Linked DNA regions of Drosophila melanogaster. The protein of the gene in region 2 interacts with the protein of the main gene of each other region in a pairwise test. Each region holds a gene or a part of one and is shown on either strand. Other genes may lie near its edges. The genes, in order: CG5026, CG14442, CG4168 and RanBPM.

Region 1 (6,873 bases), on a different chromosome or scaffold from region 2:
CATTCTGCACGCCAAGAAAACTGGATTTGTGGTGGAGCACGATTTCATCATGGCCACCTACCTCGCCGACCGTGTCATCGTGATCGAGGGTCAGCCTTCAGTGAAGACGACAGCCTTTTCGCCGCAGTCGCTGCTAAATGGCATGAACCGCTTCCTCGAACTGCTTGGTATTACGTTCCGTCGCGATCCCAACAACTTCAGACCCCGCATTAACAAAAACAATTCGGTCAAGGACACAGAACAGAAACGCTCCGGCCAGTTCTTCTTCTTGGAGGACGAAGCCTGCAACTAAGACAGGATCACGGGCAACTTCGATGGGACAGCTCGTTTCTCTATGTTCTCCTCAGCTTTCCTTCGTTCATTTTGCATTCTTTCGTTGAAGAACACATTTGCTTTCAAATTAATTTGTTATTGTTGTCGAGGATTGCGTACAATCGAAAATTGGGGATTAATTGTACTTGATTAAAGTGAGTTTTATATACGTTTTTACAGCGAAATAAATAGTGAACCGAAACAACAGAATGTTGTTTTAAATGAGTCTAGCAAAAATAAACCAATTTTCTTTATACAAAACTGCATTTGAAAGTTCTTTTTTCTAAAGTGGTGCTCATAGAATCCTGCGAGTTTAAAAGAGCTAACGTTTGCAAATTAACACGTATTTATTGCACTTAAGCGATAATTACTCAAAATACGCACAATACAAATGTAAATTACATACAAATTTCTGTCATTTCAAATTTGATCACAATACGAAATCGACGCACAATGAATAACAGCTACAAACATTTATAAGTATATAATTTACAATATTTGTTTTTAGATATACCAACGCATGCACAGCATATTTTTAATGTAAACGCTTTTGAAGCTTTAAATTTATGCGATTTAATCAAATTTACATACAATTTTTCGAAAAAGGCAAATCTTTTGAGTTTATAATACTTAATTTGATCTGTGGCTTGTTGACCACTAAATAACTGACACAAGTAAGTACTATAAATAGGTAATTTTGGAGACTTATACGCTAAAAATTCCATAAAAGTAAATGCGTCAAAAATTGACCCAAATATTTGATAGTTGCATTGTGCTGTTTCGAATCCCAATCTGAGTCTGAGAGTAGAGAGCGTTTTACAAGGAGAGTTTTCTTACTGTTTTGCCGAACTTATGCAATAGAAGTATAGTTAGTAAAAATGGACACATGTATGTCTAAAATTGAGTGTTTCAGTTGATCCAAAAGCAGATCCTATGGTTTATCCAATAATTTAATTACCTTGTTTATTTTCTTTTTCCTTCAGCATAATTTCTTGTAAATGGAACTTTTAGTGACTTAACATTAGTTTTGCTATGTGCTTAAATAATTGTCGAAATCTTGCAACAGAACGTATCAAAAATAAGTGTATATCATGCAGGAGATTAAAAGATAGAGAACATTTGAGGTAGCCGACTATGTATCGTTTCCACTTTTCATGAGGTTGGACACTTCCTGGCCGAGCTCCATGGCTTGTTTGCGCAACTTGAGGGCCTGAAAGATACATGTCATCAGTAAGCATTTCGCTATCAATACTCAAGTGGACTTACCTGAGTCCTGAGTTCCTTCTCGCGGGTGACAAGTTCCTGAATTTGCGACATGACTGTGACTGAGCTGCGTTGATCTATCACCCACCGCAAATAGAGATCTAAAATGCATGTTTGATGAGTAATGTTTCATATATTAAGTTCTTAAACATACCACTCCACAGCTCTAAGCTTATGGGCGCCACCGATGGCCATATCACATTGGCATTAGGCTCGTACAGCGGATTCAAGAATGTCTGAAGGACATCAGGCCGGTTCAAATAAGACCACAGGCTCGTCGTCCTGGTGTGCACATTCAGTTCGTTTCTCTCCCGCTCTGAATCGCACAGGAAAGTTCCATACTGCGAAAAGTGACTGTGCTCAAATAGAAGGATCAGCAGTTGAGTGCTGAATTCAAAGCTGCAGGGGAACTGCGTGTAAAGCTGATAAATGCAATCCAGAAATAGGACGAAGGTGGCACCAGAGGTCTTATTGCGTGTCTGATTTGGTGTATAGCATGAGTAGCGATGACGCGAGGCGAACGGATGTCCCGCCTGGATCCACTCGCGCTCTATCAAAGCCTGCAGGCTGCAAAGGGAACACGGCATAAATATCTTTTTCAAGGTAAGGAGAATATGATTACTTACCCCCTTACAGTCCGGCAGTCCGGATTGAGAATGATCTGCACCAGTGAGGTGACTATAAGCGTGGAGTCCAACCCCTTAGCACCGTGCACTAACACTGGACTTCCCTCTTGGTCCAGGCATTGGGCCACCACACAGGAGGCGTTCAGTGAGTTCAGCACAAGACTAAGCCAGCCGCTGTTCTCCAGTCGCGATAGCCATTTATCAGTACTGCATCCCAAATCGTTGCAAGCTTCGATAAGCCGAGCAAAGCTGTCCAAAATAGAGGCGGGCGAACTGACGTTTCCAATTGAACGATTTACCTTCTTCCACTGCGAGTAGTGCAGGTCAGTTTCCGTATTCGATTTGCCCTTACCCCAAGTGTCCACGATGAACCCCTTCCGACTGCGACCCAGCACCAGATTAAGGATAGCCTCGTCAGCTCTACAGCGCTTGATGCCCTGAATGGACAGCGGCTGGGAGCTGCGCATTAGTGTGGCCTGCAAATATGAATCATTGAATTAATTTAATAAAATTTGATGATGTAGATGCAATGACTTACGCCATTTTCATGCCTGTAGCTGAGCACGGGGAAGCGGCCGCCATCGCGGAACGCAGCGGAGAGCACTATCTGCTCGTCCGTAATTGCTTTAGGTACAATTAGCGTGGCGCCATATGTGGCACAGACGCTGAAGTCTCTGTTGACGTTGGTGATGCGCCACTCGCAGGAGGCCTGGGGACTTTGAAGCGCACCACCTCCCACACCACCAACACCACACGCAAGGGCTTCTATCGCATAGCCATTTTGCAGAGGATGGGGAATGCCGGCGCCCACAGTCAACGTCGATGTCGAAGTTGATGGCATGCAAATTGTTATGTTGGCCACATTCGGCGAGGACGCACCGCCCATGCCAACCCCGCTTATGAGTTTGGCGAACTCCAGCTCGGGCCTGTCGTTTGGATGGGGAGGTTAATTGAATTGTAGCCAATTTGTTAGTTATGGAGAAGCCGTGTACCCACCTAAACATCGTGTAGCCGTCCTCTAGGATCGAGTACATGGGCCGGTAGAAGAATGGATAGAGCAGTTCGGTGTTCTGGATGGCACTGAGTGCCTCCAGCGATGCGGCCACGTTGAAGAACTCCTTGCCGCACTTTATCTCCAACGAAATGATGCGCAGGTCCTTGCACTTCAGGGTGATAATCCCACCGACCACGATATTCTGCGACAAACTAGGCTTCTTCTCCACACAGTCGATGTTCTTGTGGAGCAACTGAAAAGAGGGGGATGAGCATGATGAATTTCTAATTCAATTATGAGCGCTCCACTGATGCCGAAGCACATCGGATTAGGTGGGCAGGCCTCAACCCACTTACCCATAGCTCCTGGCTGGTTTCCTGGCGGGCGCTGAGCAGCAAATGGTGCCCTGTGATGCACAGTGTGCCAACTGTTGCACCCGACGCCCCCGCATTCGATGGGTCGTGCAGCAGGACACCGTCCAGCTTGGGGGTCTTTATAAGGTCGGCGAATTCCATGGTGTCGCCCTCGGCGGGGTGTCCGATTTGATTTGGCCCCCACTAATTAACTTTTTGCATTTTGCCCCGGCTATCTCCTGTTGCCACTTGATTGCTTCTGTCGACGCCGCCTTCCACCTCCGCCCTTCTTCGCCACGGTTATCCCGCCTTTCGAGTCCCCTTTTTTGAACCCACAGCAGTGCGTACGTCACCGGTTCTGGCGGGGATTTGGCGGACTTACGGCACTGCTGCTCTGCAGCTAACAATGAAACTCGTTCCGGGCTGCAAAAACTTTTGTTCCACGCCCCCGCTTACGGCACAGATTGCATTTCTTTCTTTCTTTTCGATTCCGTTTCCGACCGACTGTTCTGTTTTGTGCTTTGTGCCAGTGTGCCCGTCGCTCACTGAGCCGGAAAGCTTTGTTGTGGCGTCCACTACCACACTGCGTTTTGCCTATGAACCGTTATTGCCACTAACAAAGAACTAAAAAATTATCAGGTTTTTTAATATGTAAAAATATTTTTAAATTGTTTTGCAATTTCATTTAGTTTAGTTTTGCAGGAATGATTATATTTACGCTTCATTTTTAAATATATGTTTACGACAGTTTCATATATGAAACTAAAATGACAAAAAAGAAAATAAACTAAATAATTTATAGTAATCTAACAGTAATGAAAATTATTTGCTTCACGTCTTTCGTACTCAGATTAAGATGCAGAGAATAAAAATAAAACACATTTCGCTATATCTGAATCCCTTTTAATAACTATTCTTAAATTTGTAGTTAAACCATTCGAAATAAAACCATGTGGCATACTGGTTGCATGTCACACGCACATGCGGTCCTTTAATCCGAGTAAAAGTAAGAAATGATTATGGTAGATTGCAGTATGGCTAAATTAAGTTTTACATATGGTACACAGACAGCGATGCCAATCGAAGGTCGTGGTCCGCGCCAGAAGAAGCGTCGAATACTCTTTGGAATGCGCTGCAGCAGACGGTGGCAAGGTGACTTAGTAGATGGCGTCTCCACCAGCTCAAACGACTCCCGTCGGGCGTACATTTGTTGGCGGTGGGGCGCCACTGGGCCTTGTCATGATGTCCACGGCATTCTTGAAGAACTGCGTTTTCACAAAGTCTGTGGCGGCGGAATTCAGATCCTTATTGGCACCATAGTTACACTTGACGTAGCCATACAGATTGGCGGCATTCAGCGCAATGGCGATCATTACCAGCAGTAGCCATTTGAACTTCAGGCCGAATAGGGCGAACAGGAAGAAGAGGCCCCAGAAGACGGGACAGAGGATGAGTCCCAGCCAGAAGATGCGCTGCTCGTTCTTGTTGACCCGACTCTGGTAGGATTCAGACTGCGTTTCATTATCAAGGGCAATCTAGTTAGCTATGCTCGTGACTCACGTTCTTTGACTCAAACACCCAGTGCGATACGCCATCGTCGTCGACGTAGTTCCACCAGCGGAGACCGACCAGCAATCTGCCCGAGATGTTCTTCACCGTCCAGAAGTCGGCGGACAGGAAGAGCACCACGAAAACGAAGCTGGTGATGAAGGAGTCGCTGAACCAACCGCAGAACATATAGATCAGGATGGCGGCGCCCCTGAAGAACAGGTGGAAGAAGGTGACGTACGGGTGCCTGTGGAGTACACGCGTTGGGTTGGGTTGGGGTAAATGGAATTGATCAACAAACATTATGGTTCTGCATACGTGTATTTCTGACCCGCGCGACTGGGATCCCGCATCTCGTCCTCCTCGCCAAAGGGTATCGTGTCATCGTCGAGCAGCGGCACCTGTGTAACACGTATGTGGGATTAGTTTGGCTTGCCTCGTTGTAAAATATGAGTTTTCGTGGAAAACCTCGGATCGTATTGTCAGAATGGCACCCCAATCAAGCAGCTTGTTAGGTGTTAGTGCGGCATACATACATTTCTTACCGTAGCGGATGCCATGCTGGTGTAGGGAGTGACTTCTAATTCCTAGTTGGGTGCAATTTTCATGGATTTTCGTGGTTTTTCAGGGGATTTAATATATTTTCTTCGCCTGGGACGTTGTTGTTGTTTCTGCCTGCGTAGCCTTCTATCGTTTTCGCACTGAGTCGATAGCTCGCAGGGGTGAAGCACTTCTTCGACTTCGATTGGGTTGGCAGCACCATAAGTAATCGAGCTTAAACCTATCGTATTTGAAAATTTTGCAAACATTTTTTATTGAGCTCCCCTTCATTTTGTTTGTGGAATTGTTATTTGCAATAGCAGCGCCAAATGAGAAAAAAATGCCACTTTTAAGTTATTTATGAAACATAATTTTTTACGCATCATATTAAGTAATAAAAGCCGAAGCAATATTATCTAAGACGACTTTTATGTTCTGTGACCCGGATTCTCAATGTTACATGGTTGTGGCTGAAAACCAGCAGAGTGTGCAAAAAGTTGTACTCCAACCGCAGTGGAAGCCATTGAAATGCAGCATCCATCACTTGCCAAGTTAGCCCACAAACTTCATCAGTAGCTCGTTGATCGTCTGCTCTTTCTGTCGAACTTAACTACCAACGTTTCAAAATGGAAAAATGCCGTGCCTCCTCTAGGATAATCATAATCGGAGCAGGAGTTTCGGGCATAGCCGCCGCCACTCGACTCCTGCAAAACAATTTCCAGAATGTTCAGATCCTGGAGGCGGAGGATCGCATTGGCGGGCGGATCAACACCGTGTATTTTGGTGACAACGTCATCGATTTGGGAGCCCAGTGGTGTCATGGAAAGCAGCAAAATTGTGTATACGACATGGTCAAGGATATGGGTATCCTGCACGAGACAGGCGACTATTACAGTCCCATAAAGAGGGTGAGATCCAACAAGGAGGTGGTTCCACATGAGTTGGCCTGCAGGATTCACGACATTGCTGTGAAGAGCATGCCGAGTGGACCTCACCCGGTTGTGGGATCCTTTGGCACCCACCTGACTCAGACCTTCTGGCGCAAGATCGAGTCCGAGCTACCCCAAGTGAATAGGGATGTGGCTAGTGAGGCCTTGAATACATTTGCGAAGCATGAAAGCTCTATTATTGGTGCGGACAATCTTTTCGAGGTCTCCGTTAGGGAACACATCGAGTACCACGAATGTGATGGCGACAAGCTGCTCCACTGGGGAACGAAGGGTTACCGGCGCTTCCT
Region 2 (9,053 bases):
GAAGTCTCCGCCGCCGGCTCGTCCTCCTCCTGGACCAACTGATAGGTGCCGCAGGCAAAGAAACCCGTTGCCGCATCATCGTGTGTCAGCCACTCCACAGAATCTGCCGAATATTCCGTATCCTCGCTGTGGAGCGTTGTAAACATGTTTATGAAAAGATGTTATCAGCAATCGATAACCGATAGCCACTAGCTGACCATCTGTCCCATACATCGCTGCCAATCGACCGTGTTGTTTTGTTCTTATTAGATTTATTTGTTATTTTGGGCTTCTACTGATAAAAATCTGCAAGACAAACAGTAAAACGAAGAATAATCTAGGAGTGGAAAACAGATTTTTTGCAAATCAATAGAAAATTGCCAAACCAATAAAAATGTGAAAAAATATGAACACATTTTTAAAAAGTTAATTATGATTTTTATACAGATCCTCCAGAGCTTTTCCATCACCTGCACGCTGACAACCACTACCGTAATGAGTAGGAATAGAAAGAAAGAAAGGCTGCCTTTGGAAAAAATTTCCAGCGGATGTGGTGCGCGTCATGCGCGTCATGTGCGCGCCAGACGTGCAACATGCAAAAACACGTTCGCCTCTGCATTTGCTATCGATAACCGATAGCCACTGGCTGACCACACATACATCCCATACACCGCTGCCATTGACCGTTTTGTTTCGATCTTATTAGATTTATTTGTTATTTTGGGTTTTTTTTTTGCTTTTTTTTTGCTAATTTAAAAAATTAATAGTTAATACATACAACTACTTAGTGCTCTGTTTACGCGCTACATATTCTGGATTAGGTTTAGTTGGATCTCCACCATCGATCGTAGTTATCTTTTTATTTTAGCTGCATTTCTTCGATTTTCAGTGGCTTTCGGGGCGTCACAGTGTTTCATTTCATTTAGCTTTCTGGGTTTCCGGTGGACTTTTGTGCCTGCCAGGCATCCGTATTGCACTTGATCCTTGATCTCCGCTTACTCTGACTTTTTACAAAATCTACCATTGAAGTACATTAACACTTTAAAAAACAGATTAAAAAAAAATATACGCTTATTGATAACTATAGACAATCCCTACTGTTCGCAGATATCTCCATCGTTTGTGCGTCCAACGCCTGATATTCCGGCGGAAATGGAGGCCTGGCTAGCACGTCATCCACACATATCCCTTCTAGCGATTGGTGCTGCGACTGTGACGCCTCCGCGAACCTCATTTGGTCTTCATCACAATGATTGGCTCGAGTATCTTTAGCATGTCATTGTTTTCGGGTGCTCCCGTTCCACTGCCGCCGCCAGAACCAGCAGCTCCTCCTCCGCCTCCACCGCCGGCTGCATTTGCATAATCCTTGACCGTCTGCAGTTTACTGAAGCCAGGATGCTGCTGCTGATGGAGCTGCTGCTGCTGGTGCTGACTGATGGTCACCAGGCGGTGCTGCTGGTTCAACACAATCGCCTCGTGATGCGGATGCGGCACCAAATGTTGCTGCTGAAGGCTGCCGGCAATCTGCTGCAGCTCATGCTGCTGCAATTGCAGCGCCGGCAACTGTTCGTGATCGTTGGAGCCATCGCCACCGCCCAATGGTGAATCGTCGTTGTCGGCCTTCACCACCGAAACGAAGCCACCATCACTGCCCGTGCCAGTGACCGAAACGGCTTCACTTTCGTACATATGATGCTCGGCACTGGTGTCATCGTCCTGGCACTCATCTTCTTCCTCGGTTTTGGCACGGAACTCGGTGCTGGTGGCGCTGCTGCTGCGCGGCGTGTGGCTGCGCATGCGTCGCATTCGCGCATATTCCGCCTGCTTGGACAGTCGCTCCTTGCGCTCGTCCGTATTCTCGGTGGCTCGGATCTGGGCCCGCTTCAGTCGTGCCCGTTCGCTCAGCTTCTGTAGACGCGTGGCCCGCTGCTCGGGCGTCTCATTGGCACGCACCGCTCGCTGGTGTGCGGCCATCTTGTCCAAACGTATTCGCTTCTCCTCCTCCGTCTCGTATTTGTTAGCACCGCTGCGTCGCGGCGTCAACACTGGCGTTCGACTGTCGCCATCGGCCGTGGAATGTACATGAATCTGGCTGAGCTCCTGATGATGTTGCTGCGATGCCTGCGACAGTGGCCTGCCGCGACGCGGCGTACTGGTGGCCAGCTGCGGTGCGGACAGCATCTGATTGAGCTCCTGCTCCAGCAGACTGTTCACCTTTAGCTGCTCCTCGCTGGGCAACGGATTCTTTCGCGGCCTGCCCCTGCCAACAGGTGTGGTCACAATTTGTGGCGCCGCCGCCGACGACGCGCCTGTCTGTTGTTGCTCCTGCTGTCCCAATCCAGTGACCGTTAGCGTTGGATTCGCCGCCAGTATGTTATACTGTCCGGGACTATTGCCACCACTGGCGTTGGCAAAGTTGACGGGCGTAAACGGCGGCGGCACTGCATTCGGCCCGATGCCAATCTGGAAGCCATTGTGGTACATTGGATAGTAGGCGGTGGTGGTTGTACCGCCGGCGCCCGTTGTTGTACCCGCCGTTACCACGCCCACGTGTCCGACATTGGTGGTACTGGTGGTGCTGTTGCCGCTGCTGGTGGTGTTAGGGAAGGTGGCCAGGTAGGGGAATTGATTATACAGCTGCTGCGCCTGGCCGGGCGTCGCCTTAAGCAGCTTCTGTTCCCCGCTGGCCGTCGTCACGATCACCTTGGTCTCGTTGTGGCCGAGGCTAACAGACCCGCTGTTATCATTGCCGCCCGCTGATACCGTAGCATCGTTGTCCGACTGCAAGAAGGGATAGAAGGGATTGGCAAGCCAACGGGTGAGTCGGTTTGATTCTGCGGGTTATGGGACTATCGGTTTGGAATTCTGGTATAAATCTTAATCTTCGCAATCACAGCAATCTTCGGTAATTGAATTTTACAAATCATTGCAACCTAATTTCGTAATTTGAGTGATAAGATTGATTGATGTGATTGAAGGTGGTCTTATAGATTGGTTTTCGAAAAGAACCGAGTGCGAGTGATAGAGCGAAAGGGATAGATGGAGGACACACACACACACACACACGAACGCACACCTGTACAAGGGAATTAAAACCACTTTTTGTTTGTTTCTGGTTGGTAAAAGTATTTTGTTCTTAGGTTCAAGATTTACATTGCTACATATATCTACACTCTATACGATTGATTAATTCATTTGCTTCTGACCAAAAAAAAGAACTAACACAAGTAATATGAACAACGAACAATAATGTTAACTGAAATAAACTTATACGATTTTCGCTTTTGATCAAAAGAGGAGTTAAAATGCGGGTAAGGCAACGCGCAAAAAAAAAGAGAGGTCCATTGGCCGCTTCTTCTGCCAATTTCCATTGAATTCTATATATTTTCAAAATTCCTACTTTCCGGTTTCAAGCATTTTCCTTTGAGGCAGTTGATTTCGCCAACTGCAAGGAAAATATTTGAAATTTACGAGTATTGGCAATTGTTTGATATTTTACCAGCGCTACGAATTTGTATTCGATTCCAAATTCCTCTGCAACTGTAAAAATCATTTATTGTTATTATTCAGGAATCAAGCTAAATTAGGCTAATCATGTTTTGATTTTACGTTTACTGGAAGTAGATAGTGCCCTTTTTTTCTAATACCGATTAGATTTCAAATAAATAGTGTTTCTAGATAACAAATTACATTGATGGATTCATGGGCAAGATGAGGTTCCTGGAGGATGCCAAACTTTAGTTTTGCTGCGTTACTTTGTGTGTGTGTGCGTGATTTAGTTGCTATCGCCGATCATTCTTGCTATCTACTACGCCTACTGCATACGCACCTGAAGTTCCTGCTTCTTGGCAGCATATTTGTGCGGGTAGAGTTCCAGCTGGCCACCGGCGATGCTGAAGTGCGGCACATGGGCCTGGAGCAGCTTTGCGGTGCCCTTGCCACCCTCATCGCCATAGATCTGCTGCACAAAGATGCTGCCCGGCTCGGTGCCCTCGAGCAGAGCAGCCGTAACCTGTTGCTGCTGCTGTCCGGTGATGGTGTATCGCTGATGCTGCTGCTGCAGCTGCTGCTGTGTAATCTGCTGCTGCTGCGGCGTCTGTGGCTCCTGCTTCAGTTGCATGGGTGGACGTAGGGAGCCGGGCGCCAGAAACATGCCCTGTCCCATATACTCCACTCCGGCCAGGGCCTGGTGTTGCTGATAGGCGGCTGCTGTCACCAGATGCTGCTGATCCTCCGCGGGCTGCGGGGTGCCTGCCTCGTCCGTTGTCGTCGTCGTCGCTGTGGTGGTCGCCTGGTTTAGATTGATAGTGTGTTCGTTAGTACAATTGGCTGCCGCCGCTGCTGCGGCTGCTGCTGCAACAGCCAGCACCTGCTGCTGTTGTTGCTGCTGCTGTTGTTGCTGCTGTTGCTGCTGCTGCTGCTGGTGGTGGTGCTGCTGGTCCGTTGACGACGAGGAGGATGTCGGCGTTGAGACGACCACCGACGACGAACCACCGTGCACCACAACATGCTTCAGTACCTTCTTCTTTTCTCTGACCTTTTTGGCATAATCGTTCAGCTTTCTCAGTCTTTCCTTCCGCTCCTCCGGTGACTCATTGGCGATCCTTTGGCGCGCCCTTGCCGCCATTTCTGCCAGCCGGAGCTTTCGCTGATCGTTCGTCTCGCTGGCGCGATACATGCGCATCCTTTCGGCCAATTTGGCCAGCCGTTTGGCCCTCTGGTCCGGCGACTCCATGGCCCGGCGTAGCCGTTGCCTGGCCGCATTCCTCACTAGCCGCATGGCCCGCTCTATGTCGGATTCATTCTGGCGTCTCTGGCGATTGGCTTCTGCATTCCGGAGTAGTCGCTTGCGATACTCCTCCTCGCTCTCGCGCTGCCGGCGTTCCCGCATCCTTTCAGCATTTCTGGCCAGACGGCGCTGGCGTGCCTCGGGGCTCTCGTTCCACCTCTGCTGGTGGCCAGTGGTGGAGGCACCTGTTATGGATGCGGAACTGGCACTGCTGGTGGGTCCCAATGGAGTGGGTGGCTGCTGCGATTGCTGCTGCTGCAATTGCTGTTGCTTCAGTGGTGCATAAAGCTGGAGATGCTGTTGCTGGAACTGCAGTTGATCCTGTTGCTGCTGGTGAAGATGTTGCTGCTGGAACTGTTGCTGTTGTTGCTGATGCTGCTGCTGCTGTTGTTGATGTTGCTGCTGTACGTGCTGCTGCTGTTGTTGCTGCTGTTGCAATTGCAGCTGGTGATGCGAGGAGAGTGGTACCAACAAAGCTGAGGGATGCTCGATGAGCAGGCGGGCATTGGAGCCATTGATGGCCAGCACATGGGTGGCGTACTGCTGCTGATCAAGTGAGGGCTCTATTTTTATCCCATTGGGATCTGGTTCCATTCTTGGTCAAAAGCCGGGGCAACAACAATCGAAATTGTCGTCTATCGGGGCTCCAAAAGTGTACTGTTTGTTATGTATATATATATATTTATATATATATTTATAGATATATATCTATATATGTGTATATAGACGATGGGTATTTGGTTATCGAAAGGATGAGCGCAGTCCTTCCGATTGTTTCGATAACATCTAGGGGCCGCGCTCTTGCTCGCCCCCTCTCTTTCGCACGCTCTGGGCCGTCTCCCGCTCTTTTTTTCGTCCGCTGCTCCTTGGCGTTTCCTCTTTGTGTTTGTTTTGTTTCGCTTTTTGCTTACTAGTAGTTATATAAAGAATATGTGTGTGCTGGCGCCGTTTCTCTCTCGCACTCTATTTTTGCGGCGATCACTCCGCTATTGTTATTGTGGTCCTCGGGCATTTCTTTCGTTCCCTTTTTGGCTATGAGCGGTATTCTTCTTCTCCATTTTTAGCATTATGCACTTTATTACCGTTCGTATTTGGCCATTACAATTTTTCGTGCGTTTTCATAAAAGCGTGCTTCTTCTTGCGAGTCAGTGACAATTGGCGCCGCCGCCGCGCTGCTTCTGCGCTGCCAATCGATTTTTCACATGATTATACACACACACCCATGCAGCCGCCGTCCGCACACACAAGCACGCACTGCTAAACACACACACACACACGCGCAACGAAGCAATACGCAACGTACGTGTGTGCGAGTTTTTTTCCGCTCCTTATTTTGCTTTTTGCACAAACCTTAACCCTTTGATTTGTAATTCCATTTATTCGCCGTGCTGCGGTGCATCCAGGCGCCTTTTCTCTTGGTGGGTTAAAAGGATGTTCTGTGGCGGCGCAGCGTTAACTTAACTACCGGGAATTTTCCACATAGCTGGGACCAGCGTATATCTGCCACTTCCGATCGCACCGTAATGTCATTAACTTGAAGTATGCGTACTTGTTCGCAATCCGTGGTACTGTATCTTTAATTTAATTTAATTCATCTTATTTCAGTTGTTTTCATTTCAACAATCGTTCTGTTCACAGTAGGGATGGTAAAAAGTATCGATACATCGATAGTTGAGCAGGCTGTCGATTCATTGGAAAATGCAACTGATTAACCGATGTTCCGCTTGAAATATCGCCCGGGTTTATTTTACAATTTGGAAATTAGTCTTGCAGGCAGATAATATTTATATTATTATTTGGCTGCAGTTTTGCAGTACCATATTACAGAATATATGTACTATTTTTCCATACTTAATGTTATAGTTAGATCAGCTTGTCGATAGCTTGATGTTTGAAATCGATTTTTTAAAAATCAAGCGTAACGTCAAGACATGGATAATTCTATTTCAATTGTAACAAATTTTCGCCTCTTGGCCACACTGTTTTAAAGCTTACTTTACATAACAATCAACTATGTTATGTTATGTTAACAGGGCATTAACATTCCAAAGCTTTCAAATCTTTTTGAAATGAATAAATGCGATTTATAAAAGTGAATTAAACTATTTATATAAAATTAGAAACTATATTATTTCCAATAAGAGCATTTCGTTGATAATCGTAGATAATCGTATATATAATAGGATTAGTTCAGTAGCATGTGCTGAATGGAGTTTGTAAATTATTTATATTTTATATTTAAATGTATTTTAGATGGGAGTTTTTAATTTGTTTAATTGCTGTGATACTTAAATGTACAACAAGCATACGGATGGCGATCCTGAGAATGGGACCCACCCTTCAGGTTCATCGAGGACATTCTGTCAGATTTGAAGGAAATTTTCAAAATTGTAGTGTTATTATCAACCATTCCTGATCATTTCCGGTTGATAACGCTTTTACTTTTTTTTAGATTATCACTATTCCCTATTAAATTCCCACCAAAGCTCAGAACGCAGCATTTAAAAATTGTGAATGCAACTTTATTCAAGTATATTCATTTTGTTATTCTCGTTTTTTTTCGCTTATATTTTTCTGTTTCTGTTTTCACTTTCTTGGTGTTGTGTTTTGTTTGTTGATTTTTCTTGTTGTGTGTTGTCATTGTTAGTGTACACGAATATTACAATACACAAAAATGTATCTCAATCTTATGTCTTAAGGCAAAAAACAATTGATAAACGTATTTAGACAGGAGAAAAACAATTTGAAATTTCGACTAGAACTTAATGGTTACACTTTATTAATAATAATTAGCATAATATATATATATACATATGTATATATATGTATATATAAATATATATCATGTATATATCATGTGGGCCCGCGCGGAAGGACATGGGCGTGGGAAGAGGCTGAGGATATGGATAAGGATAAGGTCTAGGAAAAGTGGGCGGTTGGATGTTGGCTGGGGAAGGGAGGAAGGATTGCGTGCTTTAACAAATATTGCGTTATGTGCCTGGCTACGGATCATGTGTGTATGCTCCAACTATATATGTATATATATATATATATATATATAAATTTGTATATATACATATATTTATGTGGGAGCTGCCGAGTGTGTGTATATTATCCTTATGTGAGTGGCGCTGTCCGTTTTGGGTTACATGCCTTTACCAACTTACACACACATATGGGGGTTGTTCGTCACTAGGGTGCCTCAGTTGTTGTGGAAAAATACGATTTTTGAATGTTATAGCAAGTTTCGCCCGAGGATTTCCTCGAAAGGCACTTGTTGCCTCGTCCATCCGCGATGCTCAGTAATTATTTTAATATTTAGTTTTTCGGGTTTCTTTTTGTTAAGCTTGGGAGGTGTACCTCCAGTCGTTGGCGATTTTCCCTCCGTTTTTTTTTTTTTTTTATTTACAGTGAGGCACCCTGGCGCTGTAAGCTTCCTTTTTCCTGGGGGAGTGGGGGATATTACTGCCCTTTTTTGGGGGCTCTATATGTGTGGCAATGACTATGCTAGTGCATGTGTGTGTGGGGGTTGGGGGTGTGTGTGTGTCTGTGTGTGTGTGATTGGTTTTTGTGTCGTGTGTGTATACATATCGTACGAATATAATGCATGCATTATAAAAATACTTTACTTTATGATTACATTACGTTACTTCATCTTGTTAATTTTTAACTTAAAAAAAAAAATTGCCTGGCTTTAATCCTAGAGTGCCTGCTGCCCATTCATTTGCAAGTCCTCAAGAATCCTTCTGGTTTCGGACTGGTTTCCTTATCTCAAACTTTTTTCTTATAGGCTGTATACAATATATATATATGTTTATATATATATATAATTTGTAGATGTGTCTGTGTTCCTCTGCCGATCCTGGCCAGCTTTTAGGGCTGCTCGGCCAAGCTGCTCTGCCGGAGAGCCAGCTCCAAATGGGCGTATTTGCCTGAATCCAGGCTAACCGATTATACGATCCTCCATTAGTAACCCTTTAGCCTGTCGGCCAGCGGCGGCTTGATGACCTTGGGCGCACTGGCCCGGGCGATTCGCATCCGTTCGGCGGCCTTGGCCAGCCGCTTCTTACGCTCCTCGACGGTTTCCGAGGCGCGGCGCAGTCGCTGCCGCGCTGCATTCTTCATCAGTCTTAGGGTTCTTTGTACTTCCGTTTCGTTCTGGCGTCGCACTCGATTCGCCTCCGCATTCTTGGCCAAACGCACGCGGTACTCGGCCTCCGATTCCTTGGCCCGTTTGTCCCGCATCCGGGCGGCGTTTCTCTCCAGCCGCCTTTCCCTGGCCTCA
Region 3 (5,904 bases), on a different chromosome or scaffold from region 2:
GGCTTACACTCAATCAACCTAAACAATTTCCTGAACAGATTTAAGTTATTTTCTCATGAATTTTAAATCAAATCCATCTAAAGTATTTCCGTTGCTGTCCTCATAGTTGCACTCAGTGCTATAAAAATAAGATTACATTTTTTCTAAGTTTATCGAATCGATTGTAACTTCTTATATACCTCAATTTTATTTTCAGGTTGTGACTGAGCCGATTTTTTTTACGAAATCGACTCTAAGCATATCTACAATGAAAAATTGGCATGCTTAACAAATGTTTTTTGTGCAGCATTTTTTGAAAACGTATATTACTATGAAGCAGAATCCAATTGTTGTGGTCTTACAAAGAAAATTAAATAATTATTATTTTACATATTTTACCTTAATGAGTTTAGTTAACCCGAAAATTCTCAAGCTGAATGAATGAATTTAGTGGACTACCGGTTAGCTATTTCTTCTGACTAAAATAAGTTTAGAGTCAATCGCACATTCATTTTTAACATGTACTAAACGTATTATACCATCTCGTACAAAATTTAATTGGATTGTAATGCTTTTTTAACGCATTTAACCTTAACCAATATAACCAATAAAATGCAATGTACTTGAGACTGTTTAAGTCAGTTATAATCGGCTACTATCATTATGAAATTGTTTTTCTTAGTTATTCTGGGTAAGCTAAAGATTTTCTAAATATTTTGATCATTCTTATTGTTAATCAAACAGCCTGTATGCTAATCGGAATTGCATGGGGAGAAAACTGCAATAAGCCGTGCGGAAAATGCATCTTGCCCACCTGCAATTATGATGGCAAATGTTACTTTGAGGGAACTAGCGCTTGTGCTCTGGAAAATGAAAAGTGCCGACGAAAGAAGAATAATCTTGACCGTGAGCTTTATGTTTGAAATGTTTTTTACCCGATTTTAACTTCTTTTAAATGTATTTAGAATTCGTAAAAACCGTGTCTGGGTTCTGTGAGATGGGCGTTAAAATGTGTAAATAGCCAAATAAAATGTTTTCAATTGAATTATATAAATTAAATATATTTCTTTTAAGAAATAAATAGTTCAAAAATAGTTCAATTGCTGTTTGTCCACTATTTTGATGTTTATTTCATTTGGGAGTTTTAAAAAGGGTATATGATATGATTTTTAACCATAACTTAGTTTCGCCTTAATGAAATAATCTACTGCTAGTGCTACAAGTCCAATTGCTCCGTAGTTTGACCGATGAAAACCTCAAGAAGACAAATATGAGGAACATTTTACTTTGCCACTCAAGCCCCAGAAAAGCAAACCCAAACGAAACGAAACGAAGCGAACCAAACCGAGCCACCCAACTATGAAAAATTTAAACTTTGCATCCAAGCCATTTATTCATCCTGCTTGGCATCTGCCATCATATCTTAGCATGCGGTTCTGGCTTCGTCCGGAGTTCTCTGCCCCCATTTTGCATCTTAAAGCCTCCATCTTTATATCTTTAACCATCTCTATGCTCTTCGGTTCTTGGGCAGTTTGGGGTGCACCTTAAAAATTAATTGAAACATCACTACCGGCTAATATTGTAGATTAAAAACAGCAAAAGGAGCTGTGCTGGGTAAGAGGACCGAAATGGGCCGCACCTAGATGAGGCATATAAAACTTTTGGGGTTAACTGAGTGCTCTAAAAACGGTCAGAAACTTGCAAATTGCCAGTATGCTTGGCCATTTATCAGTCTTAGTTGTGGGTTAGTTGGAAAGAATGTTCCACAATAAATTCGAACAACAAATTTGGCTTCTTCTGGAGTTTATTAGCTGGCCGCCGGAATTTTGCGGTCAAAGGGCGACCTGAACTTGAATCTGGCCGGTCGGTCGCCCATCTCCCGCACCTCACCCCCACCATCCACCTATTGTACATCCATCTTCGTCTTTGCCCCCATCAAGTCACTGTCCAGTTTAGAATTTCTTTGAATACTCCGCCTGATGACAGAGCATTGCCAGATAGCATACTAATTCCGGCTCAGTCACTGCGCATGCCCAGATGCTCCGGTAATCGTGGGTCTTCGGGCTTTGGGGCTCTCGCACCAGCGGCATGGGTCGTGTCAACTGACTTCGGGGGCTTCGGTTTTTGGGTCTGTTGCGCCTAGGACAACAATTTCCGTGTTGCATGCCTCGCCTTCGGGTGATCTAAAAACGAAGCGAGTGTCGAGGTCGCCAACGTGCCATAAAATGCGCATAATGTGGCACGGATGTGCCAGTCCACGTTGGTAATTTGGCGCGTGAGCATCGCCGATTATCATTTTTGCCACAAGTGGCAGCCCGTATAGTGATGTTGCTGGTGCAACGGCAACATTTCGTACCTCTAGCCGGCTAGATAAAATCGCGAAATGGTGACCACAAATAGATAGGCTTTGATAGCCGCGAAGCATTAACCAGAGATCGTATCGGTCGAGGGAGATCCGGCAGTGCTTATGATACCAAAAGTAATCAAGCGGTGATTGCAAAGTGAAGTGATCAGTAATCAAAACTCAAGTGGCACGAAAGCAGAAAGAGCAAACGAAGGAGAGAAAAGTAGCCTAGGCACATGCAACAACTGGATACGGATACGCTTTTCAAGCCCTGAACAGCCGCCGACCTACGAACCCACCCACAAGTCAAGTACGTAACAGATTGATGAGCAAGTCGCCGTCGCTGTCTCAAAGAACCACCCACTCACTTGGCCCCCCCACATCATCATCCTCATCCACCTCCTCCTCCTCCAACTCCCAGCCACTCACTCGACCAGGCACTTGACTAAAAGTTCAATTTCCTGCAAGATGCTTTAATTGAAGCGCACAGTAAACAAGAAACAGAAGCGGAGAAACAGAAAACAGAGTGGGCAAGGGTCACTCGTCGCCTTGGGTGCCTTCGCTCTGGTCAGTCATTAGTCATTTGCTCATTTCCGCAAACGCAGCCCGGATGTGCAGCACTTGTCAGTCAATAAACAACCTCGACGGGGGGTGGATGATGGGTGGTGGACGGATGATGGGTGGCGATCCACCCACTCTCCCAATTAAATGTGGCAAACGTATCAGCGTCAATCACCGATTCTGATGGCCAGGCCAGTGCATCCTGCCGCTTCACTGGCGTTTCCACAGATCGGCTGAGGCATCGGGAAAATGTCTCGGGCTATTTACATTGCCGTCCAAGGGATTGGATGCAATTTCGATTGGTTCATGGATCAGGTTGGACTTGCTTAAGGTTTTAATTTAACAAGCAAATGTTGGGTACCATACACTTGCAATGATAGTTTGTTTTATTGAGAGCTATTGATAAACTAACAGCTGTTTGACAAACAACTAAAATAACAGCTGAGAGTTAGTCGAAATGTCTGTAGATTTGGCAAATAAAATATATAAACACATGTGTGGTTTTTAACAATTTTAGATCAATTTTAGTTTGGTTGCAAATTTGGTTCCCAAAAATTATCGCCATTTATATGTAGCAAACAATAGGAAACTACGTATATACAAATGAAATATAAATGTTCATACAAAGATTTTTTTCGAAGGAAGGATTAAAAGACAAAGTATAAGTGTTTTAAACTTTTCTCAACCACTACATTTTTTGGATCTGTGTCTTTGGTCTTTAAGATGATGGAAAGAAAAAGTGGAACGCGCAGAAAAATCTGGAGGTGTAGTGTTGCAGTGGCAGTGGCAGAGTGGGTGAGTGGGCGTCGGTGGGTGGCAGGGGGAGTGGCGACTGCATATGTGTCACACATTGAGTTTCTTGGACAACAATAACCAAGACGGACAGGAGCAGGGTGCATCGCAAAAACGGTGCATAGGTGCTAAAAAAAAAGAAACAACGAGGAGCAACAATGGAACGGAGGTGGGGAAATATGGGGAATGTTGGGGGGAGTACGCAAGCTAACCCAGTTTTTTTTCGACGCTGGTTCTTCACAGCTCAGTTTTGTTTTGGGCCTCCTCTTTTTTTTTATTTTGTCTACTGCTGCTTGGTACATTTCTTTTTATGGCTTTTACGAACTGGCCGCAAAACGACGACGACGAATAACCAACTTCACTGACAGCAGAAGAAACGAAAATATTTCGACCAAAAACTGCCAGACTTGTCCAAAGCCACCCACCACCCACCACCCACCAACCCATCCCACTGGATGAAACCTGTTTTGTAATTGTTGTGTTTTTATTCCGAGTATGCGTGTTGATGCGGATTTCTTTGGCTTTCCCAGCGCCTTCTGGGCTCTAGCTTCTTGCCTGGGCCATTGTCACGTAAATCTGTGACAGAAATTAGCCTCGTTGACAAAAATATGCCTGCTTACACATTATTTGTACAAACAAATAGACGGGCAACAGTTAATGGGCGTGGAGAGTGTCGTCCTCGTGGTGCCTCTGGGTTCCATGGGCACCGTTCCATGGGGTTCTTGGGTTCTTCTGACGGGGGTGTTGCAGATACATGGGTCTGGAGAAATTTGCATGGGAACTGCGCCAGTTGACGCTGTTATTTCTTGGCCTCTTTTGGGCGAATTCCTCAGCTAGTTTTGTGGCTGTCGTCCTGTCGGCTTTTCTTCTTCGCCTTGTTTTATTGATCTGTTTATGCTTTAGGACCTCTGGCCCTACACTTCCCCCCCATCACAGCAATCTCTGTCAAACCCTCATCATGGATAAACAAACAAAAAAAGTTTTATTTGTGGACTACTGAAAATGCAAAATAAAAAAAAAGAAAACAAAAAGCAAGGGATGCGGGGACCGCAAATGTGCTTTTTCGGGGCAAAGTTGTGCCTAGGCTAATGACCAGACAGGCGTGAAGGCAATCATAAACTGCGTACATTTCATCCTCCCACACTTCGCACTCGAAGTTAATTTTCCTTGACCAGAGTCTAGCCAGGTTGGAAAGTTTACTCTAGCTCTTAATCAACTCATTATAATGAACAGAGAAATAAAATATCCATAACATGCCGTCGATTAAATTATTTGGTTGCCTTACGGCACTTTTGCTGATTGACTTTATGGAGTTTTGGTCTGATTTTTTCCAATAAAATGTAATGAGATTAATAAATCAAATTGTTGCACATAAACGATTAATGCTATAAAAATGTATGCATGTATTTAATTATACCGCTTACTTTTAGAGTTAAGGGTATACAACATTCGTTGAAAAGTTTGTATCAGTTAGAAGGATGAGTTTTCGACCCTATATTTTTTGAACATTGATATTAAGAATGCAGATTCTAGAAACGGCGAGATTGTGCATCTTACCCACTCTAACGCTGAGTACAGGGTATCAGATAGCCGAGGAAATCGACTCTCTTTTTTTTATTATTTGTCTTGTCAATTTCTACCGGCATGCCAAACCATTTTGGCCAAGCTCCTTTTGAAATACAAGCCTGAGTCGAATGTTTTCAATAGGATTTATATTTCTTGTAATCATATAAAATTATTTTATTACAGACAGAGGGAAAAATAATTTTCCGAGATTGTGCATCTTACCCACTCTAACGCTGAGTACAGGGTATCAGATAGCCGAGGAAATCGACTCTCTTTTTTTTATTATTTGTCTTGTCAATTTCTACCGGCATGCCAAACCATTTTGGCCAAGCTCCTTTTGAAATACAAGCCTGAGTCGAATGTTTTCAATAGGATTTATATTTCTTGTAATCATATAAAATTATTTTATTACAGACAGAGGGAAAAATAATTTTCCGAACTTAAGCCTTGGCCTAGAAAGTTAAAGTTGAAAGTCAAATAACGGACAATTTTTGACGTCTACAATATCCTTTCGAACCCGGACCCCTAATTACCTGAACCTAACCTTAGACACACAAAATACAGAGTCAATCTATCATGCGATGGGTGTTCTCCTGATTAACACGAAACTTTGCCCAGGCCGAGCAACAAAATGATTGATGTCCACTACAAAATTTTCAATG
Region 4 (9,138 bases), on a different chromosome or scaffold from region 2:
AAAGAGGTACTTACTCAACGTTGCGACCAGTGGACATGGGGTAAAACATGGAGAGGCGCACCTTATGGTCCGGACTGATGATGAACAGGGCGCGGATGGTCTTACCCACCTCGGGATCCTTCTTCTGCTCCTCGTCGAGCATGCCCAGGGTGACGGCCAGGTCGCGAGTAGGGTCGGCGATGATCGGGTAGGGGAAGTCCCCGGGAATGTCCAGGCAATAGCTCTTGATGTCGTTCACCCAGTCCACGTGCGAGTTCAATGCGTCAACGGAATGCGCCAGGCACTTGGTGTTCCGCTTGGCAAACTCCGGCTGGTGCACCGCAATCCTGCCCAGCTCAGTGGTGCAGACGGGAGTGAAGTCGGCGGGGTGAGAGAAGAGCACCACCCAGCTGGCGATCCGAAGGAGAATTGGTAAGATTCGATCAGAGAAAAAGGGTTTGATGGCACTTACGAGTTGCCCTGCCACTCGTGGAATTTAATGGGCCCCTTGGTTGTGTCGGCCTCGAAGTTAGGTACGGTCTGTCCCAAACGCATCTTGCTGTTTGATTTTTAGTTTCACTTGGAAAAAAACTTGTTAGTTGCTCAGCTGGTAGCTGTTATTAGCTCGCACACTTGTTGCTTACTGAATACTGACTGGGAGAGCTCGCTGTCTTTTATACCCGACTGGATCAATTTGATGAAAGGGGACCGATAGAGACAGAGAACGGGAGCTGGCTTATCGTATCATATATGTACATATGTATGTTTGTATGTATAGTACGTGGTGCTGCGGGTAGACTAACAAACAACTCAGTGATAATTGGGGACATTGTGAGGGGAAAGATGAGGCCTCGTACGGGGTCTCCATATTTGTGTGAACCTCAAGAGGGGCCTTAAAAAAACCTGTTTGGGGCGTCACACAAAAATGGACTCTGTGACGAACACATTTTAGATGTAACGCAAAATGAAGTACAGTTTCGCATATTTCTTTTAATTTAAACTTGTTCGAATAAATCAATCAGTCCAGAACCAATTCCTTCAGGATCTAGTATCAAAACAGCTGATTTGATGCAGTTGACGGTTTTGCCGGCTCCAAACATAAACAGAGAGCGAGAGCGCATTTAAATGTTAAATGGTGTTGGTAAACAGAGGCGAAGCACCAACACCTGCAAACATACAGCCACGCCGATAGGCGGATATTGAGAGCGAGAGAGCGGCGAGCAACGTGATGGTATTTGTGAGTGCCTGCAAAAATCGCACACTTCCATAGATCGCACGGCTCTCCCGTTCACGTACAGAAAACGAGCCTCTAATTGAAAGTGAAGAGCGAGTGAAATCGTGAGACTGTGTGCGTGGGTCTATCGAAAATTAGCACACCAGCATAGGTTTTCTCTCAGTAAGTCACACATAAAGATGGAATGGATTTGGGAAGTCGGATGGGCAGATCGCTCATTCAGAAGGCAAAAGACAGTACGCATGAAAGCAGCCCAAATAGGAATCATATGGTTAAAATTCAATATCTAGTCATAATGGATACCAAAAATGCAACAATTGATAAGTTTAATTAGAAGAGTTCCCTCCCAGTAGCTCGATCGTGTTTCATAAGTTACAAGTACAGTTTTTGTGCTAGTGTATAAAGTCTAATCAAGAATCCAGCAACATTCGTCTCTACACCAGACGTGTGGTAATTTTCCACTGTTTATTATCAGTTACGTGATAGGATTTCTATTCGGAAAGGAAGTAACTAAAATACAGAGTGAAGGTTGAGGCGAAACGAACAAGAACGATTAGAAGAGTGAGATAGAAAGTGTCAAAGCATTTGAGAGAAGCCGTAGAGCGAACCGGTAAATTCTGCAGCATCGATAGTCTGTCAATCGAATCGAATCTTTTGAATTTATGGCGGTTTTTTTTACCAGTGCAGCGATCTCTTAATTACATTCTGGGCAGAGTACTAGAAATCACTAAAGTTTTTTGCGCTGATGCATTTTTAAATCTGGTTTCAATGTAAAACGCGTATGTTTGACATTCGTCATACTTTTATACCATAGGCAGAAGTTTCTAAGTAATAATTGCCCTTAATATTCTTATCGGTATGGCGTAAAGTATGCGCTAAAAATAGATAATATGATCTTTTTTTATAATTTAAACCAATATTTAAAAGATTAAATTAGCATTAAAAAACATAACGAATTACGTAAGGTTTAATTTTACCCAAAAAATAAGATTGCTAGCAATAGTGCAATAATACCCTCCAAAAGTATTGTCAAGGGTTTTACCTAAAAACATTTTAAGATTTTAATGGCACTTTGGGAAGTGTGTTACTGCTTATCAAATTTTGAATTTAGGCGCCTAAAGAGATTTATTCGATAAGAATAATCGATAGCTGCCGAGCGCACTCTGATGTTGTCAGGTGTCGGAATAGATATCGATATCATCGAATGAACATCGGCTTTTGTTCCAGCTCTATAGCATAAAGTCAAAACTTCGTAGATTTAACAACTCATAGCAATCGTTTGAAGGTAAATATAAGGAAATATCAACTGTAGATCCGATCAACAGCATAGAATGACAGCCAAATCGAATTCATCAGCTAAATAAAACCCCAACAAAGATCATTTGCCCCAGCTAAAAAAAAATGATAATTTTCTTCTCTGCGTGTGGGAGCTGCGAGTGTGTGTGCTTGCTGCATGCATATATGCGTGTGTGCGAGAGGGAGAGAGTGCTGCCAGTGTGTGAGCTGGTGCTTGTTTGTGTGTGTGTGGACAGTGACTCGTTGGTTAGAAGGGAAAACAAAGAAAACTTCAGAAAAGTACGACGTAAAAAGGCATTTACAAATGTAGAATAATCAAAACTGACTTGCTAGCAATGTTAAAAAGTGCAGAAAGCATTGGCTAATATCGTTTGGCTATTGATTTTTTGCATTTTCGTGCATGCAATTTTGTAGCTGTAGTTGTTGCTGTTGTATTTTTTTGTGCTGCAGCTGCGCGTCGCAACTGTAAACTGCTGTTGCTGTTGTTGTTTGTATTTTGGGTCAGTTAACGAAAGAGAGTGCACGAGTGATTGAGAGAGTGCGAATGAGGTGAACGGTGTAACGGACAAAGGACATTGCATTTTGGAAGTTGTTTGTGTTTGCTAGCCTCCTTACCCCTCCCTTCGTCACTCCTCACGTATACACACACAGCATCTGCATATGCACTTCATCCGCTCTCTCTTGCTCGCTCGTTGCTGGCTCACTCTCTCTAATTCCTCGCTGAACGTCTCTCTCTCAGCCTCCTTTTGCAACCACAACAAGATAAACAACAACGACAACTCAACCATAACATGGAGAACGTCGAAGAGGCCCCGCCACTCTCTTCGGAGAGCAACAGCAATAGCAACAACAGCAGCGCCAGCAGCAGCTCTCACCAGCTCTCTCAATCGGGAGCCATGGGTGCCGAAATAGCCCCCTCTACGTCTCGGTCACACTCTCATTCGCCCACACCCTCGCCGCCCGTCCCCGCGTCCTCTCACGACCAACCCCATCCCGATCACCCTAGTCCCCCATTGAATGCATCTGAAACGGAAGCTCGCGAGAATTCACCACATGATCACTCACCCACTCCTACTTTCCACCAGACTGCACCGCCACCCACGACTTCATCGACGGCACCGCAGCGGGACGAGCGGGAGCAGCAGCAGCAGCAAGAGGCGCCACCATTGCAGCAGGATCAGCAGGAGAATTCGCCCGCGCAGGACCAGGAGCTGCACCCATTGCTGGATCAACAGAATCAAGAATATCCCGCAGTGCACCAAGATCAACAAGCGGAGCAAAACCAGGAGCTGCATCACATAGAGGGGCTTATTCGGCACCGAGAATCACAGAATCCGGAAGAGCATCCACCACAAGCATCGCTGGAAAACCGGGAGACATTAGGACGAGAAGATACCAACCAAGAACCGGATGAGCCGCAAGTTCGAGATCCCGAAATCGAACCAGAAGCCGAGCCACCGCCACCGCTGCTTCTCGAAGATCTGGACGAGCAGGACTCCGGATCGCAGGATCTTAACGAACAGCAGCCGCCACTGATTATAGACGCAAACGCTATAGCCGAGACCATAGACGCCAACGCCGTGGAGCGCATCGACGACTACGAAGACGACGACGAGGAGGTGGATGAAGAGGAGGAGGTGGTAGAGGACCGGGTCGACAGAGCCGGCGAAGTCGCTTCCGTTTCCGGTGCCCAGCGCCTGCACTCGGTGGCCGTTTTGCCGCGCTACTCCTCAGCCTCACGAGCCCCAAGGAGCAGCAACAATAACAACAACAATATCAGCAATCACAACAACAATAATAACAACAGCAACAGTAACAGCCTCTCGCGACGCACTCGTCACTTCTACAGCAACAACGGCAGTCACTTCAGCAACGACATGTTCCCCAGCCACAATCCCCGCAGCAGCACCCAGACATCATCGCCGCGGGTCGGTGGTCGCCGCCATCACTCGACCCCCGCCGCCAGCTCCAATTCGCCACAGCACCAGGGCGTGGATCCCCTAAGGCTGCTCTATCCCAATGTCAACGAGAGCGAGACTCCGCTGCCCAGGTGCTGGAGTCCCCATGACAAGTGCTTGTCCATCGGTTTGTCGCAGAACAACTTGAGGGTCACCTACAAGGGTGAGTAGGATTCGAACTTCTCTATAAATCAACTCTCCATTTCATACCATCTAAAATAGAAAGTAGGCAACGATCAGGCAACTATAAGATACAGATTTCTTAGGAGCTGTCATAGTTCAATTCTAAATCGGTTTCATATTGCCACTAATACGCACATTTCAATTTCGCAATGAAATGTAATAATTAAATATGCACTTACATAGATATAGTTACATAGATATGGAATAAATTGTAATAAGTTTGTCTACGCTGTAGCCAAGTATGAGTATCCAGGTGGTATAAGTGCCAGAGTTCATGGAGTTTATCTTTATTACAACGATTTGACTTTGTTCTTACATTTTCAAATTTGTATTGATCTAAAGCTAAAGAGACAGTATACAATATTTTAGCCCTTAAATCAAAACACCCGAATATAAGGCTAGCCCCTACTAAATTATTACTTGCATAGTTATTAATTGCATTATCGAAATTATTATTTATTCGAAATCCCATCCACAAAATCTAATATTTGTCTTGAAGGATGTAACTCAATGCAGTAGAAAGAAGAAGAGTCGTAGTGCAGCTGCAGTTTTCACTCTCTTTCGCTCTATCTCGCTCTGGCACACACACGCACAGGGCACAGACAGGTGCTCTCAGCTGTGCACTGGTGGTTTTTGTTTTTCATAACCCACTTCTCCCACGCTCATTCGCGTGGCTGTTAAACCGCTAACAGCAACAGCTGGCTTACCAGTGCGACATAACATGTAAAATGCGCGTAAAATGTATAAGTTATTACGTAGATGGTGCGTTGCATAGATGTAAAATGTATATTTAGGTTACTTTAATTTCAGGTAAAATATATAACTCAATAATTCGAAATATTTCATTTAAATTGATAAAATGTCTCATTATTGTTTCGACGTAGACTTAGGCCAAAAATCAGTTTTTTTATTTAGAGTATCAATTTTATTATTTTTATTGTCCAGATAACCAACTCATTCATTTATGTTAAGAACATATCCCATGTACTAAGTTCGAGAGTAGGAAGTTCATACCGAATGGATAAAAGAATATTGTCTTACTGCAATGCTATAGCATATAAAAATTGAGATCTGTCAAATACTGAAACCTCATGACTTTTTAGGTGTGGGCAAGCAGCACAGTGATGCCGCCTCAGTGCGCACTGCCTATCCGATCCCGTCCTCCTGCGGACTGTACTACTTCGAGGTGCGGATAATCTCCAAGGGACGCAACGGCTACATGGGCATTGGCCTAACTGCCCAGCAGTTCCGTATGAACCGCCTGCCAGGTTTGTGTTCCATTGTGCTGCTCGGCGAGATGTGCCCATGATTCCTAATAACCGCACCCCCCCTCAAGTAGGTTGGGACAAACAGTCGTACGGGTACCACGGCGACGATGGCAACTCGTTTAGCTCCTCGGGAAATGGCCAAACCTACGGCCCCACTTTTACCACCGGCGATGTGATTGGATGCTGCGTCAACTTTGTGAACAACACGTGCTTCTACACCAAGAACGGAGTGGATCTGGGCATCGCATTTAGGGATTTGCCGGTGCGTATTCAATGGAATTTTAAAACTACTTTATCTTCTAACTTTATGTTTGTTAATCTTTTTTTTTTTTGTTTAGACTAAGCTTTATCCCACTGTGGGCCTACAGACGCCTGGCGAGGAAGTGGATGCCAACTTTGGTCAGGAACCATTCAAGTTCGACAAGATCGTCGATATGATGAAGGAGATGCGCTCCAATGTGCTCCGCAAGATCGATCGATATCCACATCTGCTGGAGACCCCAGAAAACCTGATGAATCGGTGCGTTTTTGTTAAATGTGTTTAAAAATCATGGCTTAACCCAATGACTTCTAAATTGCTTAGCCTGGTTTCCACTTATTTGGTGCATAATGCGTTCAGCAAAACCGCCGAGGCCTTCAATGGCTACACAAATCAGACTTTCAACGAGGACTTGGCATCGATCAAGACACGTCAAAGTTCGTATATTTGCCATTTGAAATGACAACACACATGCCAACTTTAAATCCACTCTTCCAGAGATCATTAAGCTTATACTGACTGGCAAAATGAGCCAGGCCATCGAACATACACTACGTTCTTTCCCCGGACTCCTGGAAAATAATAAAAACCTCTGGTTCGCATTGAAGTGCCGCCAGTTCATTGAGATGATCAATGGAGCTGACATTGAGGTGGGTTTTTAAACATTACATGCGGAAGATAAGTAGAACCGGATGGTTTGTCTTACAGAACGTGAACAACAAAGTCACCGCCACCACACAGACCATGCCCACAAACCAGACGTCAGTGATACAGTCCACCAAGACGTTCAAGCACAGCAAGAGCGGCAGTGGAAATGGCAACGTCAACATAAATCAGACTCAACAACAGAACAACACTGCGATTCCAGCTGTGATAAAGCCACAAGGCGGCGATAGGCCAGATATAAAAAAGTAAGTCAAATGTAATACTTACTCCGATCTTTAATCACAACGTACTGTTCAAGCATGTTGGTTGACGACAACTCCAACAAGTGCGTGGAGCACGACAGCAACAGCATGGACGTAGAAATGGAGCCCTGCCAGAGTCACTCCAACGGCGGCGACTCGAGCTCCAATGGCAATGCCAGCGCAGTGCGCAACTCTCTAGATGCCATCGACGAGGAAATGGGTATGTATCTATTGGCGGCATTTCCGGGAAGATCCGTAATCCCTAGCACTTGCAGATGTAGATGTTTCCCCCTCATCGCGTAACTGTGGTCGTGTGATCGAGAAGATCCTTGAGTTCGGCAAGGAACTGTCCAGCATGGGCCAGCAGCTGGAGAAGGAGAACCTAATGACTGAAGAGGAGCGTCAAATGTTGGAGGTAAACTATAAAAATGTATAAACAATAGAAACTGGTATCTTGCAGACTAAGCACTCTTTGTATTTGAAAAATAACTTCAATAAGAATATGATTATCCGTAATCGAGAGATATTCAATTTATGGTTGTTACAGGATGCATTTAGTCTGATTGCCTACTCTAATCCTTGGTCCAGTCCGCTGGGCTGGTTGCTGTGTCCCTCGCGACGTGAGAGTGTTTCCACCACACTCAACTCGGCCATATTGGGTAAGTCTTTAAACACTTGTCTCGAAACGAAGTTACTAATTACTATGATTATGCAGAGTCCCTGAACTTCGAGCGTCGTCCGCCGCTGGAATACCTGGTGGCTCACGCCTCGGAGCTGATCAAGGTGATCGGACAGCACTCGCTGGGCGAGGACGCTTTCATTACCATCGACGATGTGTTCCCGCAAAATTGACCCAGTTCCCCGACGCTGCTGAAGATGTTCGAGACCACGCTGACCCTGCCGCGAACCAGTGTGCTTACGGAACCGTTGGGCAGCGCCGGAACCGGATCTGGGCCCTCCACATCAACGGCTGCCGTGGCAGTTCAGACCAGCAAACGACGCCGAAGGCGGCGTAACAAACGTCGCCGCAAATCCTCCCTGTCCAGCAATACCGATGCCCCGTCGTCGCGGACCTACGATCCCGTGATGACGGGCAGTACGCTCCGGTCGGCAGCTGTGGCATCGGTGGGCGGGGGCACGGGCACGGGACCAGTGCGTCGGGGTCGTCGCAGGAGCGGGGTCAGCTCATCTTCATCGGCGGCAGCGGCTGCAGCAGCGGCAGCGGAGGAGGAGGCGGAAGAAGCGGAAGCGGAGGCGGCTCGCCAGGAGGAGGAGGAAGCGGAAATCTTGAGCGGAAACAGCAGCCCATCGATGTTCGTCGATCCGCAGGACTTCTTCGAGACACTGGACTAAATTTAGATTATTTACAATTTGCAGTAGGTTAAATTTTGTTGTTACTTCCGTTCTCTTTCTTTTTTACCTGCGCAACCGGCTTCAGTGCGCCTATTTAAAACTAATCGCCGTTCTTTTAATTGTTCGATTATGCTAAAGATGCTATGCGTTTGGCGGCCTTTGATTTGGCGTGATTTTTAATAACTTTTAACATATATTTTATATAGCCTCTCTAAGCATAAAGTGTGTAATATTATGATGTATAATTAAATTTGCGAAATGTGCTGCGACACGACCCTTGAAATTGAATTAGCCCTTTGTTTTTCGCTTCCACCGCCCGAAACACAACAATCACACACCAAAATATAATCTAGAATTGATAGTGAAGGGACTAGCCTGGAGCAAAAGCTGTTCAATCATCTCCTTAGCATGTTAATATAGAACCGAATCCATAGTTAACTGGTAGACATTCGCGTTTTAATTCTCCGTGTTTTCAGCGATTTTCGATGGACTCCGCGCCATCCCGTGTCTTGTGGCAAGACTAAGCAAAAGCAAATGAACATTTTAAGTGTAATGTTTCGCTATAGTGTTTAAGCGTATTAAAATTTAATCTATATATACAAGATTGGTCATACACACATTCGGCAAACATGAATAGAATTTAACTGGATAATCGTTTAAATATATTGTATGGATGTGTATTTCAGGAAAGCGAGAACTG

What was found.
Region 1: the proteins of CG14442 (region 2) and CG5026 interact in a two-hybrid assay, tested with the Drosophila melanogaster proteins (one large-scale study listed by BioGRID).
Region 3: the proteins of CG14442 (region 2) and CG4168 interact in a two-hybrid assay, tested with the Drosophila melanogaster proteins (one large-scale study listed by BioGRID).
Region 4: the proteins of CG14442 (region 2) and RanBPM interact in a two-hybrid assay, tested with the Drosophila melanogaster proteins (one large-scale study listed by BioGRID).

What each region holds. Positions count from the first base shown.
Region 1 is NT_037436.4:8,965,752-8,972,624, reverse strand, and holds CG5026 (uncharacterized protein), read right to left. Parts: upstream 4,098-6,873; 5' UTR 3,711-4,097; coding exon 3,552-3,710; intron 3,449-3,551; coding exon 3,198-3,448; intron 3,128-3,197; coding exon 2,740-3,127; intron 2,678-2,739; coding exon 2,202-2,677; intron 2,143-2,201; coding exon 1,730-2,142; intron 1,677-1,729; coding exon 1,579-1,676; intron 1,523-1,578; coding exon 1,445-1,522; 3' UTR 873-1,444; downstream 1-872. Other genes in the region: pix (pixie), read left to right, coding at 1-292; CG5021 (uncharacterized protein), read right to left, coding at 4,730-5,059, 5,109-5,343, 5,415-5,497, 5,633-5,656; CG5653 (uncharacterized protein), read left to right, coding at 6,263-6,873.
Region 2 is NC_004354.4:6,688,595-6,697,647, forward strand, and holds CG14442 (uncharacterized protein), read right to left. Parts: upstream 6,408-9,053; 5' UTR 5,363-6,407; coding exon 3,809-5,362; intron 3,520-3,808; coding exon of another isoform or gene 3,484-3,519; exon of another isoform or gene 3,479-3,483; intron 3,425-3,478; exon of another isoform or gene 3,088-3,424; intron 2,761-3,087; coding exon 1,210-2,760; 3' UTR 702-1,209; downstream 1-701. Other genes in the region: CG3184 (uncharacterized protein), read right to left, coding at 1-146; CG14440 (uncharacterized protein), read right to left, coding at 8,735-9,053.
Region 3 is NT_033779.5:15,196,803-15,202,706, reverse strand, and holds the start of CG4168 (uncharacterized protein), read left to right. Parts: upstream 1-2,247; 5' UTR 2,248-2,633; intron 2,634-5,904. Other genes in the region: Sfp35C (seminal fluid protein 35C), read left to right, coding at 643-670, 724-885, 945-1,000.
Region 4 is NT_033778.4:10,427,286-10,436,423, forward strand, and holds the start of RanBPM (Ran-binding protein M), read left to right. Parts: upstream 1-2,426; 5' UTR 2,427-2,498; intron 2,499-2,719; exon of another isoform or gene 2,720-2,788; intron 2,789-3,248; 5' UTR 3,249-3,300; coding exon 3,301-4,630; intron 4,631-5,753; coding exon 5,754-5,918; intron 5,919-5,986; coding exon of another isoform or gene 5,987-5,989; coding exon 5,990-6,180; intron 6,181-6,256; coding exon 6,257-6,438; intron 6,439-6,501; coding exon 6,502-6,614; intron 6,615-6,675; coding exon 6,676-6,827; intron 6,828-6,885; coding exon 6,886-7,088; intron 7,089-7,141; coding exon 7,142-7,305; intron 7,306-7,351; coding exon of another isoform or gene 7,352-7,360; coding exon 7,361-7,500; intron 7,501-7,632; coding exon 7,633-7,744; intron 7,745-7,800; coding exon 7,801-7,937; coding exon of another isoform or gene 7,938-8,438; 3' UTR 8,439-9,138. Other genes in the region: CG12896 (uncharacterized protein), read right to left, coding at 15-389, 452-534. UniProt on the Drosophila melanogaster protein: May be involved in JAK/STAT signaling. Isoform D is required for the proper arrangement of niche cells and is autonomously required for proper niche cell size, isoform C negatively regulates the adhesive properties of the niche.